2 linked regions of the Oryctolagus cuniculus genome follow. The protein of the gene in region 1 interacts with the protein of each later gene in a pairwise test. Links are inferred from orthologs where the notes say so. Each region holds a gene or a part of one and is shown in the gene's direction. Other genes may lie near its edges.

What was found.
Region 2: the proteins of TXNDC5 (region 1) and GMPPB interact in a two-hybrid assay, tested with the Homo sapiens proteins (2 studies listed by BioGRID and IntAct). The two-hybrid records come from large-scale screens. The link is inferred for Oryctolagus cuniculus from reciprocal best matches to the Homo sapiens genes TXNDC5 and GMPPB.

What each region holds. Positions count from the first base shown.
Region 1 is NC_091436.1:162,674,993-162,680,854, forward strand, and holds the end of TXNDC5 (thioredoxin domain-containing protein 5), read left to right. Parts: intron 1-450; coding exon 451-533; intron 534-1,852; coding exon 1,853-1,982; intron 1,983-2,784; coding exon 2,785-2,907; 3' UTR 2,908-4,205; downstream 4,206-5,862. Other genes in the region: BMP6 (bone morphogenetic protein 6), read right to left, coding at 5,280-5,429, 5,524-5,634. UniProt on the Homo sapiens protein: Protein disulfide isomerase of the endoplasmic reticulum lumen involved in the formation of disulfide bonds in proteins. Can reduce insulin disulfide bonds.
Region 2 is NC_091441.1:99,538,605-99,545,422, forward strand, and holds GMPPB (mannose-1-phosphate guanylyltransferase catalytic subunit beta), read left to right. Parts: upstream 1-2,658; 5' UTR 2,659-2,817; intron 2,818-2,909; 5' UTR 2,910-2,914; coding exon 2,915-3,043; intron 3,044-3,173; coding exon 3,174-3,254; intron 3,255-3,343; coding exon 3,344-3,392; intron 3,393-3,523; coding exon 3,524-3,666; intron 3,667-3,836; coding exon 3,837-3,995; intron 3,996-4,079; coding exon 4,080-4,158; intron 4,159-4,230; coding exon 4,231-4,358; intron 4,359-4,932; coding exon 4,933-5,115; intron 5,116-5,175; coding exon 5,176-5,637; 3' UTR 5,638-5,705; coding exon of another isoform or gene 5,706-5,868; 3' UTR 5,869-5,951; coding exon of another isoform or gene 5,952-6,037; 3' UTR 6,038-6,114; coding exon of another isoform or gene 6,115-6,209; 3' UTR 6,210-6,342; coding exon of another isoform or gene 6,343-6,485; 3' UTR 6,486-6,738; downstream 6,739-6,818. Other genes in the region: E3 ubiquitin-protein ligase RNF123, read right to left, coding at 5,706-5,868, 5,952-6,037, 6,115-6,209, 6,343-6,485. UniProt on the Homo sapiens protein: Catalytic subunit of the GMPPA-GMPPB mannose-1-phosphate guanylyltransferase complex. Catalyzes the formation of GDP-mannose, an essential precursor of glycan moieties of glycoproteins and glycolipids. Can catalyze the reverse reaction in vitro.

The sequences.
Region 1 (5,862 bases):
CTGTGCTTTTTGTAGCAGAGAGAAGATAAAAGTTTCGGGTGAAGGAGGGGCCCAGGCAGAGCTGAGAGGGGGGTGGTGGTTTCACCCATCTCGGGGTTGGAGGCTACAAGCCTGGGCGCCGCAGACGCTAGCACGGAGTGATGTCTACACCACCGGGCTCCAGAGGACGGGGCTGAACCTGTCCTGGCTGCCGGGCAGAGCGGCTGAGCGTCCCCCCGGGAGCTTCCAGTCTGGCACGTCTTTCCTGAGACAGTGTCTGTGCAGCGCCCGGCTCGGGCCTCTCCTGGGCTCGGGCCCCTCAGCCTGCTGGCCTCCTTGCCCCGGGGTGGAGCTTGTGTGGGTACGTGTGTGTGAACCTGGAGCACGTATAAGACGGCATTTAAGAAAAACAGCCGGCCTTGCCCTGCTTGAGTGACGTGTTAGAAACCGTGGCTCTCTCCCCCCACGAAGGACATGGTGCTGGCACTCACAGAGAAGAACTTCGACGACACCGTCGCGCAGGGAATAACCTTCGTCAAGTTCTACGCTCCGTGGTAAGTGGCCGCCTGGTGCGGTGCTGTCACGTCCTTTTCCCCGATCATTGGCCTAACGCTGCGGGCTCAGTGCGGGCGGGTGGTCCACTTAACACGGGGGTCATGCGCTTCGTTCCGCCCTCGGATGCAGGCGCGTTGAGGTTCGGGGGCCTCGTTCGCAATTACGTGTAGAGGGGTTATTTTAAAGCCCCTTCTGCTTTGGAGAGAACGCACATAGCAGTGAAGTACGACAGTCAGACACACGTTTGTACTTTCTCCAAATCTTTGTTGGGGAGAGCCACGCACATCAGGCTAGAGCTTAGCTCTTCCGGGTCCGTTCAGCAGTGGTGCAGAGCAGGCCAGCGGAGCTCAGCTTTCTCTGGGAGCCACTCGGTACGTGACCCAGTGCTCGATCCCTCCCACCACGTGGTCCTGGGAGCATGAATGGACGGTGCAGGTCCGAGACCCAGACCGGCTGCTGGTGGGAAGACAGCAGGTCCATTTGGACACACAGGGCATTGAGGGGAATGGTCCTCCTTGTGTAGACGGGCCGAGGTTACGCATCACTGTAGGCCTTGAGCTTAGTTCAGGCTGGGTATCCGTGAGAAGCCGCAACAACCGAGAACAGTGACTCAAATGAGCCGTGCAGTGTGCAATCCTTTTTTTTTTTTTTTTTTTTTTTTTTGAGAGAAACGGAAAGGTCTTCCTTCATTGGTTCCCCTCCCCCAAATGGTCGCTAAGGCCAGAGCTACACCGATCTGAAGCCAGATCGGTGCAGGGCCCAAGCACTTGGGCCATCCTCCAATGCCTTCCTAGGCCACAGCAGAGAGCTGGACTGGAAGAGGGGCAACCGGGACTAGAACCCGGCACCAGCCCCAGTTTGCAGTCTTAATTTTTTGGTTTCACAAGCCCTAAAGCTACATGAGTACCAATCAAGCATAAAGAAAGAAGACAGGAGAGAAGCCGTCCACGCGGAGGGAAGGGATCAGAAAGGGGGGCCAGGGGGCAGGTGTGAAACGCACGAGACGGAAGCCCTGAGCTCGCGCTGCGCCCGAAAGCCGGCGGGCTAGGACATCTGTTCCCTCTCCTGCTCCCGGTGCATGCAGGAGCCAGTGAGCTCTGTTCACCAGACGAAAGCAGCTCAGAACCCAGACCTTGCTTGCTTCTCTAGGTGACCTGGAAATGGACTTGGGGCGGGAGGTGGTGGAGTGAGCACGCGCACAGCGGGAACCTGGTGACCGCTGCAGGCCGTCTCGGAGCAGCTGGGCAGTGCCATGTGGGTGCGTGGGTGCACGACCGCACCGGCGACCCCAGCGGAGCTGTCCCTGCTCTCTCTCTAGGTGCGGCCACTGCAAGAACCTAGCTCCCACCTGGGAGGAGCTCTCCAAGAAGGAGTTCCCTGGTCTGGCGGAGGTCAAGATCGCCAAGGTGGACTGTACCGCTGAGCGGGAGATCTGCAGCAGGCATGCGGTGAGTAGACGCGGGCGCACACACGCAGGGTTCCCCCGAGGGCCCACCCTCCTCCTGAGTCTCCGGGGGCGCTCTCGAGGCTTGCCCTCTGCTGCGCTGCAGAGACACACTTAGAAACTTCCCTCGGAACGGGCCGAGCTGTCTTCCTGGTCTAACGGCCGGGATGATTTGCAGGTGGTAGAGCCACGAGGTGGGGAGGGGGGCGGTGATGCCTGGCCCACGGGCTGTGTAAGGTCACATACAAGGCGTCGCAAGTAGCAGGCTCATTGTTTAAGAAGTTGATGATTTCGTATGGTCTGTGACTGTTATAAATACCCAGACGGCCCTTGGAGGAAAAATGGCATCCCCCCACCCCCGCCCTGCCCTGTTAGAGCTGATGCCCTCGCTGGAGGGAGGGTGGAGGTAACACAGACGCGGTTCACTTACTAGTAGATGCCTGTCGGGTTAGTAGGCCCAAGGAAGCGAGCTGCACCTGCCTGGTGCACGCTGTGAGAGTCTTGCTGCAGCTCACGGTGGGGCTGGGCCAGGGCGCTGGGCAGGAGTGCAGAGCCCCCGCCCCCGCCCCCTGCCTCTCCCATGCACCTTAAAGATGGAGAGAGGCTAGCGCCATCCCTCCCGTACTGATCTTCAGTCGACCGTGCAGCCCCGAGGTTTTGCCTGCTGAACTCTCCGGTCTTTTTTCAATGCTCTGTACATCTTTGCAAACGAGCCGCCGAGTTTCCCAGCCCCTAAACTGCAGGAGCAGCGTGTGAGAGAGCGATGGGGAGCACGGGTTTTCAGACCTTTCTTCTTTTTCGTGAAGGTGCGAGGCTACCCCACGTTGCTGCTTTTCCGGGGAGGAAAACAAGTGAGCGAGCACAGCGGCGGCCGGGACCTGGACTCTCTGCACGGCTTCGTCCTGCGCCAGGCGAGAGACGAGCTCTAGGAGCCCCGCGGGCAGGCGCCGGCCTCCGGGAGTCACGGCCAAGTTCGCGGGCCGTGTGGCACCTTCTCCGTGTAACCCGGGGTCACTGTGCACACTCGCTGCTGTCAGTGGCGACACACCCCCTTCTAACTTTCTCTTGATGAAATTAAACCGTATCCTTTGAGGCTAAAATGAATTGAGAAAAAGCAAATAACTGGACTGTTTTCGGCTCCTGGGTGATTCTGTGGCAAGCAAGCATCCCCCAAAGCACGGTGTCTGGGACTGCCTGCGACCGCTGATCCGAGTGTCACCGTCCATTGACGTCGACTTACTAACAAACGTGGTCAGGCCGGGAGCGGAGGGAGAAAGAAGAACCCACGCGCCCAGAAGACACCTCCGTGGCTGCCAGTGGATTTTCTGTGCCACACCTCTCCCCCCACAAGAGGTTAGCCAGAGCGAAAGCAGGGGTCCTCCTGACACGTGCCTGAGGGTGCGGGTTCCAACGCCGTGATGCCCCCGATGCGTTCCTACCCGTCTGGTCCATTAGTATCATTCCAGGATGCTCCCGTCTCTTCCTCAGGGGCCAAAAGGGCTCAGGAGTTGACGACGTCACCGTGAGAGCCTTGAGAGTGGCTGCCTTCCGTAGAAGCGTGCACGCGGGCAGTCCCGCGCGGCGCCGTCCCAACTGTTAACTCCCGGGGAGGGTCTGGTCCTATGGCTGCTTTCCTAGGTCCTAGGCCCCCAGGGAGACCCGGAGGCTTGCAGTACCTGCCTCCCTCCTACGAGGTGGCTGACGGATGAAGGAGGGGATTCCTTTGACCTCAAGACCAAAGACTGAAGCCGGCAGCCTGTTCTGGTCCCAGGTGTGCACAGTCATGGATGCTAGTGTCCTGGGTCTGGTGTCATCCTGCCGTTAAACTGTCACCACCCCCACCGCCGCCTCCCTGCCCCCTGGAAGTGAGCAGCCATAGGACTGAGCTCCCGTGAGATACAGACCTGTCCTGTCCTTTACCAGCGAGTCATTCTCGGAAGAGCCACTCTGTGGCCCGTGCCCTCTGCCCGCCTCCACAGAGCAGCCGCCGGCGCCGTGTGCCGTGGCAGGGGACAGCCGCATCTCGAGCCGGCCCCTGCCTTACAGGGAATCTTTATTGATCACGTGTGGTTCACAGATACTCTTGAAAAACCCAACCTTCTCCAGAAGCCCAGGCCTCGGGTAAGGCTTCGGCTTTGCATCATGAGTCTTGTATTGGAAGAAAAATCAAAGTGGTACAATTTGTTTACACTATACTTTCTAAATAAACTTTTTAAAAAAAAACAAAGCCCAGTCTTTTCCTTACATGTTACAGCAAAAGGGATATAAAATAGACAATAAATTATAGTTCCTATTTACAAAAAAAGCTGTAAGTGCAAAGAACTATAGATTATAAATGTATTATTTAATCAGTTTAGTATGAAATTGATTTCCCAGTACATGAATTGTGAAAAAGACATCTTTAAAAATATTCTAAGATTTAATCTGAGCCTTAGCTTTCTACCAGAGGAAACTGATTTCAGATTTCAGTTTATAAACAGCACACTCAGCACCCCCAACCCTTTCCTAACGGCCAGGCGCCCCTTCTCGATGTCTCCTTTAGCGGTTCTAACTACAGCATTGATGGGCTGTACAGGAACAGGCACAGAACCACGTTAACGCACCAGCGCTCAGAGCCGACGTTCCTGAAGGTAGCAGGCCAATGTAGAGGGGGTGCAGAGCTGCTTGCTAAGGCGAGGGCCACGGTGAGTGCGCCGCGCCTCACCTCTGCGTACTCTGTCTCTGAGAATACAGGCGGGAGAGGGTGGAGGTGTGGAAATGATGGGGTGGGCTCTGGCTGAAGTCAAGTCTGTTTTCATACAAACTACAGCACAAACCATGTAACAGCCATGACTGAGACAAAAGGCACCTGGCTACAGGTGGGGCTGTTTCTCCCATGGGAACTGACCCTCCTGGGAGCAAAACCTGCATCATCCTGCATAACCAACCTGTGATAGATGCTACTGAGCCGCTGACACCAGAGACAAGGATGCTTTCACTCTCCCCGACGTTGCTTTCCCTACTTACCCACTAACATCACAAACAGCCTGAGCTCCAGCTAACTCTGGGGGGCTGCGGGGGCAGGGAGCTCTTCAAAGTTCTGTCTCTGCAGTCGCCAGACCTCAACCTGTGAAACATTCGACTATTCACGTTATGTACGAAACCAGTGAGGTCCTTTCAAGCCTTCCGTGGGGCAGTAAGGCACCAGCATGAGATGGGTTTCAGAGTTATCTCACTTCCACTGTGGTTCTGAATGCTTTGTAAGGCAGTTGTCACCCAGGAATCCAGAGTGGACTTCGTGTCCCCAGCAGACGGCTGTGAGCTAGTGGCATCCGCAAGCTCTTACAACCATATTCCTGTACTTCTTCAAGATGACATTGGAGTTGTCGTCAAAGTAGAGAACTGAGATGGCGTTGAGTTTAGTTGGAGCACAGCACGGTTTGGGGACATACTCGGGATTCATAAGGTGCACCTGTTAGGAAACAGCAGCAGGAAGAGCACCGTTTAGGAAAGGCTCCTGGTCTGGGTTTGGTCCCATTTGCAAAGTGGCACGTGGGCACGCTCACCAGGGTCTGCACGATGGCGTGGTTGGTTGCGTTCATGTGTGCGTTGAGGGGGAAGGAGCACTCTCCGTCACAGTAATTGGCAGCATAGCCCTTGGGTGCGATGATCCAGTCCTTGATAACAAGGAAGCAACAAAAGATGAATAGACCCACCTCCGTACACCCTCTGTGCTCTGTAGCCCTGTGAGAATTTGTGGTGGACACGTAGGGAGGCTTGGGAAGATTTTCCCAAGTTCACAGGCAAGTGGCAAAGTTGTGTGGACCTGGTCAGTCTGCCTCAGGAGCCCTTGCTCCTTTCCTGGGCCCACACAGCCTCAGCTGCTACCTGCACGTTAGGCCTGG
Region 2 (6,818 bases), on another chromosome or scaffold:
AAGCCCTGGGCTGGCGCAGGGCCCCTTCATGCCCACTCATCCTTTGTTCCTCTGAATTAGAGAGGATTGGCCATCCACCTTTTGGGGGCTTTCCAGTCTCCTCCTGCTGCAGGTGTCAGCCAGCTCTGTAACAGGTGCCTCAGGGCACAGCAGAGCTGACTGCCCACTGCATCCTTCTCAGTTCGGCCTCTGGTGTGGGGCGAGATTCGTGAAGCTGAGCTGAAGCCAACTCACGGCAGTGCGCAGGCCCTGGGTTCCTCAGGCACCCATTGGCAGGCCAACCTGCTCCTCCTCTGCCCGCAACCCCGGCCAGCCTGTCTCACCGAGATCCCTTGCCTAAGGAGGCCACTGCTTTCTGCCCCACTGAAGGGGACACAGCTCTGTGGGCTGGCCTCAGGGTCTCTGGTGACTCTGGCCCTGACAGTATTTGCAGCTTCCTGCTTTGGGTTGGAGGCCACTGCCTCTAGTTAGGGTAGCTGTGCTGCCTCTGGTGGGCCACTCCTGCCAGGGCACAAGGGCTGTGGTCCACTCAGGGTCTCACTTTCCCCCAGGCCACGCTCAAGACAGCAGCCTGTTGGGAGGCAGCCCAGCTCCTGGGCCTAGAGGAAGAACCTTAAGCTTGTCTATTCATAGGGACATTGGGCCCTGGGTGCAGGTGCCCAGATTCTGCTAACGAGAATGTCTGTGTTTGATCCTGGGCTCCCTCAGTTTGTCCATTTGTTCACCCACCCGCCCCTGTCTCCGGGAGGCTCCCCCTGGGGAGGAGCGTCGGTTTTCAGCGTGTACTGATTTCCTTCATGCTCTCCTCAGTGCAAGATTCCCTGGCCGTTTCTGAGGTTAGCTTTTACGCCGGTGCCCTTCCTCAGCAGGTGCTGCGTGTCAGAGACCTGGTAACAGGACGGGTTGTAGACGGCACTTCCCCGCTGGCTGAGCGCCTCCCCAGGGGCCTGGAGCGTGGCGGCCTTAGCACTCACTGGGGCAGTGAAGGCTCAAGAAGCCAGCCTTCTTTCCCATCCTTGTCGTCTCCCTGCTGCCTCTGACACGGGTGGCCAGGTGACATAGCACTCAGCCATTGCCAAGGTTAGCACCCTCTCCAAACCTGGGGCCACCATCGTCCCCTGGGGCTTTGTCCCTGTCTTGGTGTTGAAGGTAAACCTGCTGGCCTGTGTTAGTGAAAGATGATGTGGTCCTTGGCAGTGCAGCTTCTTGAGAGGGCTCCTTGAAGGATCCCATCCCCCCGCTCTCTGACCCTGGTGCCCATGGGGCAGGTTCCCATTGCTTGGGCCTGGGAGGGGCAGTTTGCCTGTTTCTGGTTTGTAATGACCATCTTCTCTCTTGTACCATTCTGTGGCTTCCTTAGTGTAGACAGTCGTTCCCTAGCAGGGTAGGGGATAGGACAGAGGGTCTGGGGCCACTCTGGACTGCCCAGTTTGTAGATTGGGGAGCAGATTCTGCCCTGTTCTGCTGCTGCTCACAGCGAGGGAGGCTGTCCCCACTTACACTCAGTGTTTTCCTGGCACTAAAGAGGAAGGGCCTGCAATCTCCTGCTGCTTCCCAGGGCAGGGACCTCTTCAGCACTTTGACACCTGCAGACAGCCAGCCCTGTTAGGGGTGAGGTGTGTGCGTGCACATACATTCTCTTCCTGCCAGGGCTGCTTCTCCCTGTCCCTGCTAGGCCCTGTCTCCCCAGCCCCAATTTGGGACCAAAGTGCAACGTGGGATCATGGGTTGGGGCCCTCAGGTGACCCCTCTAGTGCTTTCCTGGGACAAGCTGACACCAGCCCCCGGGATTGGATGGGATGGTGGTGCTTAAAGAGGAAGGGGACCAGTGTAGCAACTTGCCAGGGGCCCCGCCCCTACCCCTCTGGGCCTGTGCAATGGGCGTGGGGATTCCCAGCAAAAGCCAGGGGCCTGCGCTAGTTCTGTAGCTGCTGTTCACGCGCTCACACCTGGCCACGTGCACGTTCCCTAGATGCAGATTGCTTTGAACTTTAAAACTGTACCTACCATGTGGTTATGTTTGTGTCGATTTAAATTTTTAACGGGAAAAAAGCGGAGAACCCTGGGAAGGACTTAGTTCCTTTGCTTCTCCGGGGGAAGTTCGGGGAATCGCTCTCTGCGCTTTCATAGAAACTCAGCCTGTCCACGCCTCCCGAGGCCTGCGTCACATTCGACACGTGGCTCCGCCGGCTCGGCGCAGTTGCTTTTTCTCGGGACCCTGCGTGTGGGAGGGGTTGCTTGGGCGGAGCCCGCCCCTTTCTGTGCACCTAGCGCTGCCCGCCCCGCTTGTGTCTGAGATCGTGTATGTCCAAATAAAGCCGCTAGAAACAAGTGTGCCCGCGTCTTTGTGAAAACCTCGTGGCTTCCGGAAAGACCGGCCTAGCAGGCTGCCAGCCTCATCGCCGCCGCCGGCTCCATCCTCGTCCCGCTCGCCCGCGCCGAGGCTGGGGGAGTGCAGCTGCGTCGCGGCGGACGCTGGGAGGGATAGGGGAGGAGGCCGCGCCCTTGCCGCCAGTTCCGCCTTTGGATCCGCCAATGAGGAGCTGACCCGCTGGGTCCCGTGTGGGTCCCCATAGCAACCCGGCGCGCTCAGCCTCGCATTGGCTACGTCGGTTGCTGCGGCGCAGACCGGCGCTCCGACGCGGCGGCGGTGCCACGTATGCGGCAGCTGATTGGTGCGCTCCAGGACACGTCACTGGCCGCGCCGGGTCCGGCCCGAGTTCCGGGCCCGCGGCCCTCTGCTCCGCGTTTGCTCCTGGTTTGTGGCGGCCCGGCCCTGGCGTCCGGCGGAGAGTGGACCAGGTGGAACCAGAGTCGGTCAGTCTGGCTGGCAGAGGGCGCGGGGCGGGGCACGGCCGGGCGGGCCGCTCCGCCTTGGCTCCTGGGACTGAGTCTCCCGTCGCCCGCAGGCGCGATGAAGGCACTGATCTTGGTGGGCGGCTATGGGACACGGCTGCGGCCGCTGACGCTGAGCACTCCGAAGCCACTGGTGGATTTCTGCAACAAGCCCATTTTGTTGCACCAAGTGGAGGCCCTTGCCGCGGTGAGGTCCGGGGACAGGGTTGGGCCAGGCGGGACGAAAGATGGCTGGCGACGGGACCGGCGGAGGGGTTGGTGGGAGCCTGTGCCTCCCCTGCTGAGCCCTCCTGCCTGTCCGCTGTGCTGTCCAACAGGCAGGTGTGGACCACGTGATCCTAGCTGTGAGCTACATGTCGCAGGTGTTGGAGAAGGAAATGAAGGCGCAGGAGCAGAGGGTGAGGCCTTGACTCTTGCCCTTTTCTTTAGTGCCTGGCCAGCTTCCCACCTTGAGGGAGAAGTTGACCAGGTGATTTCTCCCTTCCAGTTGGGAATCCGAATCTCCATGTCCCATGAAGAGGAGCCTTTGGGGACAGGTCAGTGCAGATAGGAAGCCCCTTGGGAAAGGTTTAGAGCTTTCGGGAAAGGGAAAGACCTGGCCTGGGTGGAGTCCTGGTCCAGGTGTTCAGAGCCTTAACAAGGCGGCACCTTGGTCCTGTTTCCCTAGCTGGGCCCCTGGCCCTGGCCCGGGACCTGCTTTCCGAGACGGCAGACCCTTTCTTCGTCCTCAACAGTGACGTGATCTGTGACTTTCCCTTCCAAGCCATGGCGCAGTTCCACCGGCACCATGGCCAGGAGGGCTCCATCCTGGTAAGAGACCAGGTCTTCCTGCTCTAACATTCCCTCTCCCCGTGCCCAGCCTTGAACCACCTCCTTTCGTTACGGGTATGGAGCTGTGCAGCATGTATCTTTGAAGAGATCAGAGCATGCACGTCCAGGTTCAGGAACGCTGGACCAGGCCTGGGCCCCCCTGTATTCAGGTGACCAAGGTGGAGGAACCCTCCAAGTATGGTGTGGTGGTGTGTGAGGCTGAAACAGGCCGTATTCACCGCTTTGTGGAGAAGCCGCAGGTGTTTGTGTCCAATAAGATCAACGCAGGCATGTACGTCCTGAGCCCTGCCGTGCTGCAGCGCATCCAGGTGTGTAGGGACAGCTGCTGGGGGGCTGGGCTGGGACAGGCCCCTGGCGCCATGACCCTGCTCACGAGCTGCCCACTCCCACAGCTGCAGCCCACGTCCATTGAGAAGGAGGTCTTCCCCGTTATGGCCAAGGAGGGGCAGCTATATGCCATGGAGCTGCAGGGTGAGGCAGGGAGGCACAGGGTGGGGGTGGTCTGTGGCTGGGCTGAGCCCCCTGATGCACCCGTCCCTGCAGGCTTCTGGATGGACATCGGCCAGCCCAAAGACTTCCTCACCGGGATGTGCCTCTTCCTGCAGTCGCTGAGGCAGAAGCAGCCCGAGCGCCTGTGCTCGGGCCCTGGCATCGTGGGCAACGTGCTCGTGGTGAGCTCCCTGCCCAGCCCCTGCTGGTCAATTTGTTAAAGATTTATTTATTCATTTGAAAGGCAGAGTTAGAGGCAGACGCGGAGAGACGTCTTCCGTCTGCTGGTCCACTCCCCAAATGGCCACAACGGCCGGAGCTGAGCTGATGGAAGCCAGGAGCGTCTCCGGGTCTCCTGCGGGGGTGCAGAGGCCTAAGCCCTTGGGCCATCTTCTTTCCCAGGCTGTGGCGGAGTAGCCGGGGCGGCACTGTGGCATCGCCTCCTGCAGTGCCCACATCCCATGTGGGTGCCGATTTGAGTACCGGCTGCCCCACATCCAGTCCAGCTCCAGCCATTGTTGCCAGTTGGGGAGTGAACTGGAGGATGGAAGACAAATCTCTGCCTCTGCCTCTGCAATAAATAAATCTTAGGGGGGAAAAAAAGAAAGGAGGGGAGCAGCCGGGACTCGGACTGGCGCCCATATGGGATGCTGGCATTGCAGGCAGTGGCTTCATGGGCTAGGCCCCCAGCCCCTTATCGGTTCTCTCAGGCCTGGGTGACAGGTGGCCCACTTGCACTTTCCCCGTGGCCCTCAGGACCCAAGTGCCCGGATTGGTCAGAACTGCAGCATCGGCCCCAACGTGAGCCTGGGGCCTGGTGTGGTGGTGGAGGACGGCGTGTGCATTCGGCGCTGCACGGTGCTGCGGGACGCCCACATCCGCTCGCACTCCTGGCTCGAGTCCTGTATCGTGGGCTGGCGCTGCCGTGTGGGCCAGTGGGTAAGCCTGTGGGTGGGGCCAGGTAGGCGGAGGGGCGGGGACGCACTGTGGCTGACGCAGCCTGCTCTGTCCCCCGGAGGTGCGCATGGAGAACGTGACTGTGCTGGGCGAGGACGTGATCGTCAACGACGAGCTCTACCTCAACGGGGCCAGCGTGCTGCCGCACAAGTCCATCGGCGAGTCGGTGCCGGAGCCACGCATCATCATGTGAGGGCCCCGCAGGCCGAGCTGCCGTGCCCTCGGGCCGGGGTGAGGGCCCTGGACTTGCGGGGGAGGACTGAAGGCCACCGGAGCTTGTTGGACACCTGCCTTCTCCGCGGGCTCCCCACTGGGCACCCTGCACATGGCCCACTCCCCCGAAGAAGGGCCGCGGCCAGGGCTGTCTGGAATAATAATTTAATGCTCGCTGTGGCCCTGACTCCTAGTTCAGCTCAGGCACAGTTAGGGCCGTGGCTAGGCTCCCACCAATCAGACTGCACACAGGCTAGGAGGTTGGAGGTGGCAGGGAAGGTGGCAGGGTGAGGGGAGCTCATAAATAGGGCCCAGCCTGGGGTCTGGGTCCGAGGGTGGAGGTTCCAGAATGCTGTGGGCTAGGCAGCCGAGGAGGTGGAGGTGGTGGTGGTGGTGGTGGTGGCGGCGGCGGCGGCGGCACCACTGGCACTGGCTCCCTTCTCCCAGTCCTCTACTGACACAATGGTGGCTTTGCAGAAGAAGCAGTCCTTGTTGTTCATCAGGTGCTGATCGATGCAGGCTCTGCAACACCGGGGCGGGGGGCGGGGGTGAGCGCTGCACGGGGTCCCTGTGCCCCTACCTGCAGATGCCTGGAGGCTACTTACTTGCAGGACTTGTGGCCACAGGGCTGGAACACGGCAGAAATGGGGTGGGCGTAGCAGATGGGGCAGAGGTCCTCCTCACTGGTGGGCTGTAGGAGGGAGCGTTAGGGCGGGCTCAGCTGGGGCTGGACGCTGCTGTCTGTGGGTGTGCGGCGCTCCTACTCACCAGGGAAGCAGCTGCTGCCTGGGCGGAGGCGGAGGTCAGGTGCGCCAGCATCTGTTCCACCTGGGCCAGCTCCTCAGCACTGATGTAGTCCGCATCTGGGGGGCAGGAGGTGGGGTCAGGCCCACTACGGCCCTGGAGCCTAGTGCCTCCCTTGTCCCAGTCTGGGAGCCGGCTGTTCTTGGGGCTGAAGACCACGCCCAGTCTCTGGTCTTGCCCTAGGCCACTCACAGCTCTGCAGGGAGAAGCGCTTCCGGTCAGGGGCAGGCAGGGCAGCGCCAGGTGCTGGGGGCTCTGGTTGCCCCAGAAGGTAGCTGATGGAGCGGAGCTGGAAGCAGGGGTCAGCCAGGAGCACGGACGTGGCTCGCTCTGTCCTGGGGAGGGGCGGGTTTAAGGGCAGTGAGAAGGCTTGGGGCCAGACAGGAGTCTCAGGGAGCAGGGGGTGTGGCAATTCCGACCATCCGTTAGCACACCCTTTGGCCTTTTCATCTCCCTGCTGCTTAGCCAACCCTCCGAGGTCCCGGATTCCAGAAAGATCCTACACAGCCAGGCCACCGTAAGGTACTCAAAGCCCACAGTACATTAACCCTTCCAAGCTACTTCAAATAAACAAACACGAATAGCTTAGAGACGTTCTTGCCGGATTCCCAACCGCATTCCCAACCGCTGCCCTTGGGATAGTGGCCCTCTGCTCGCGCCCCCTCTGG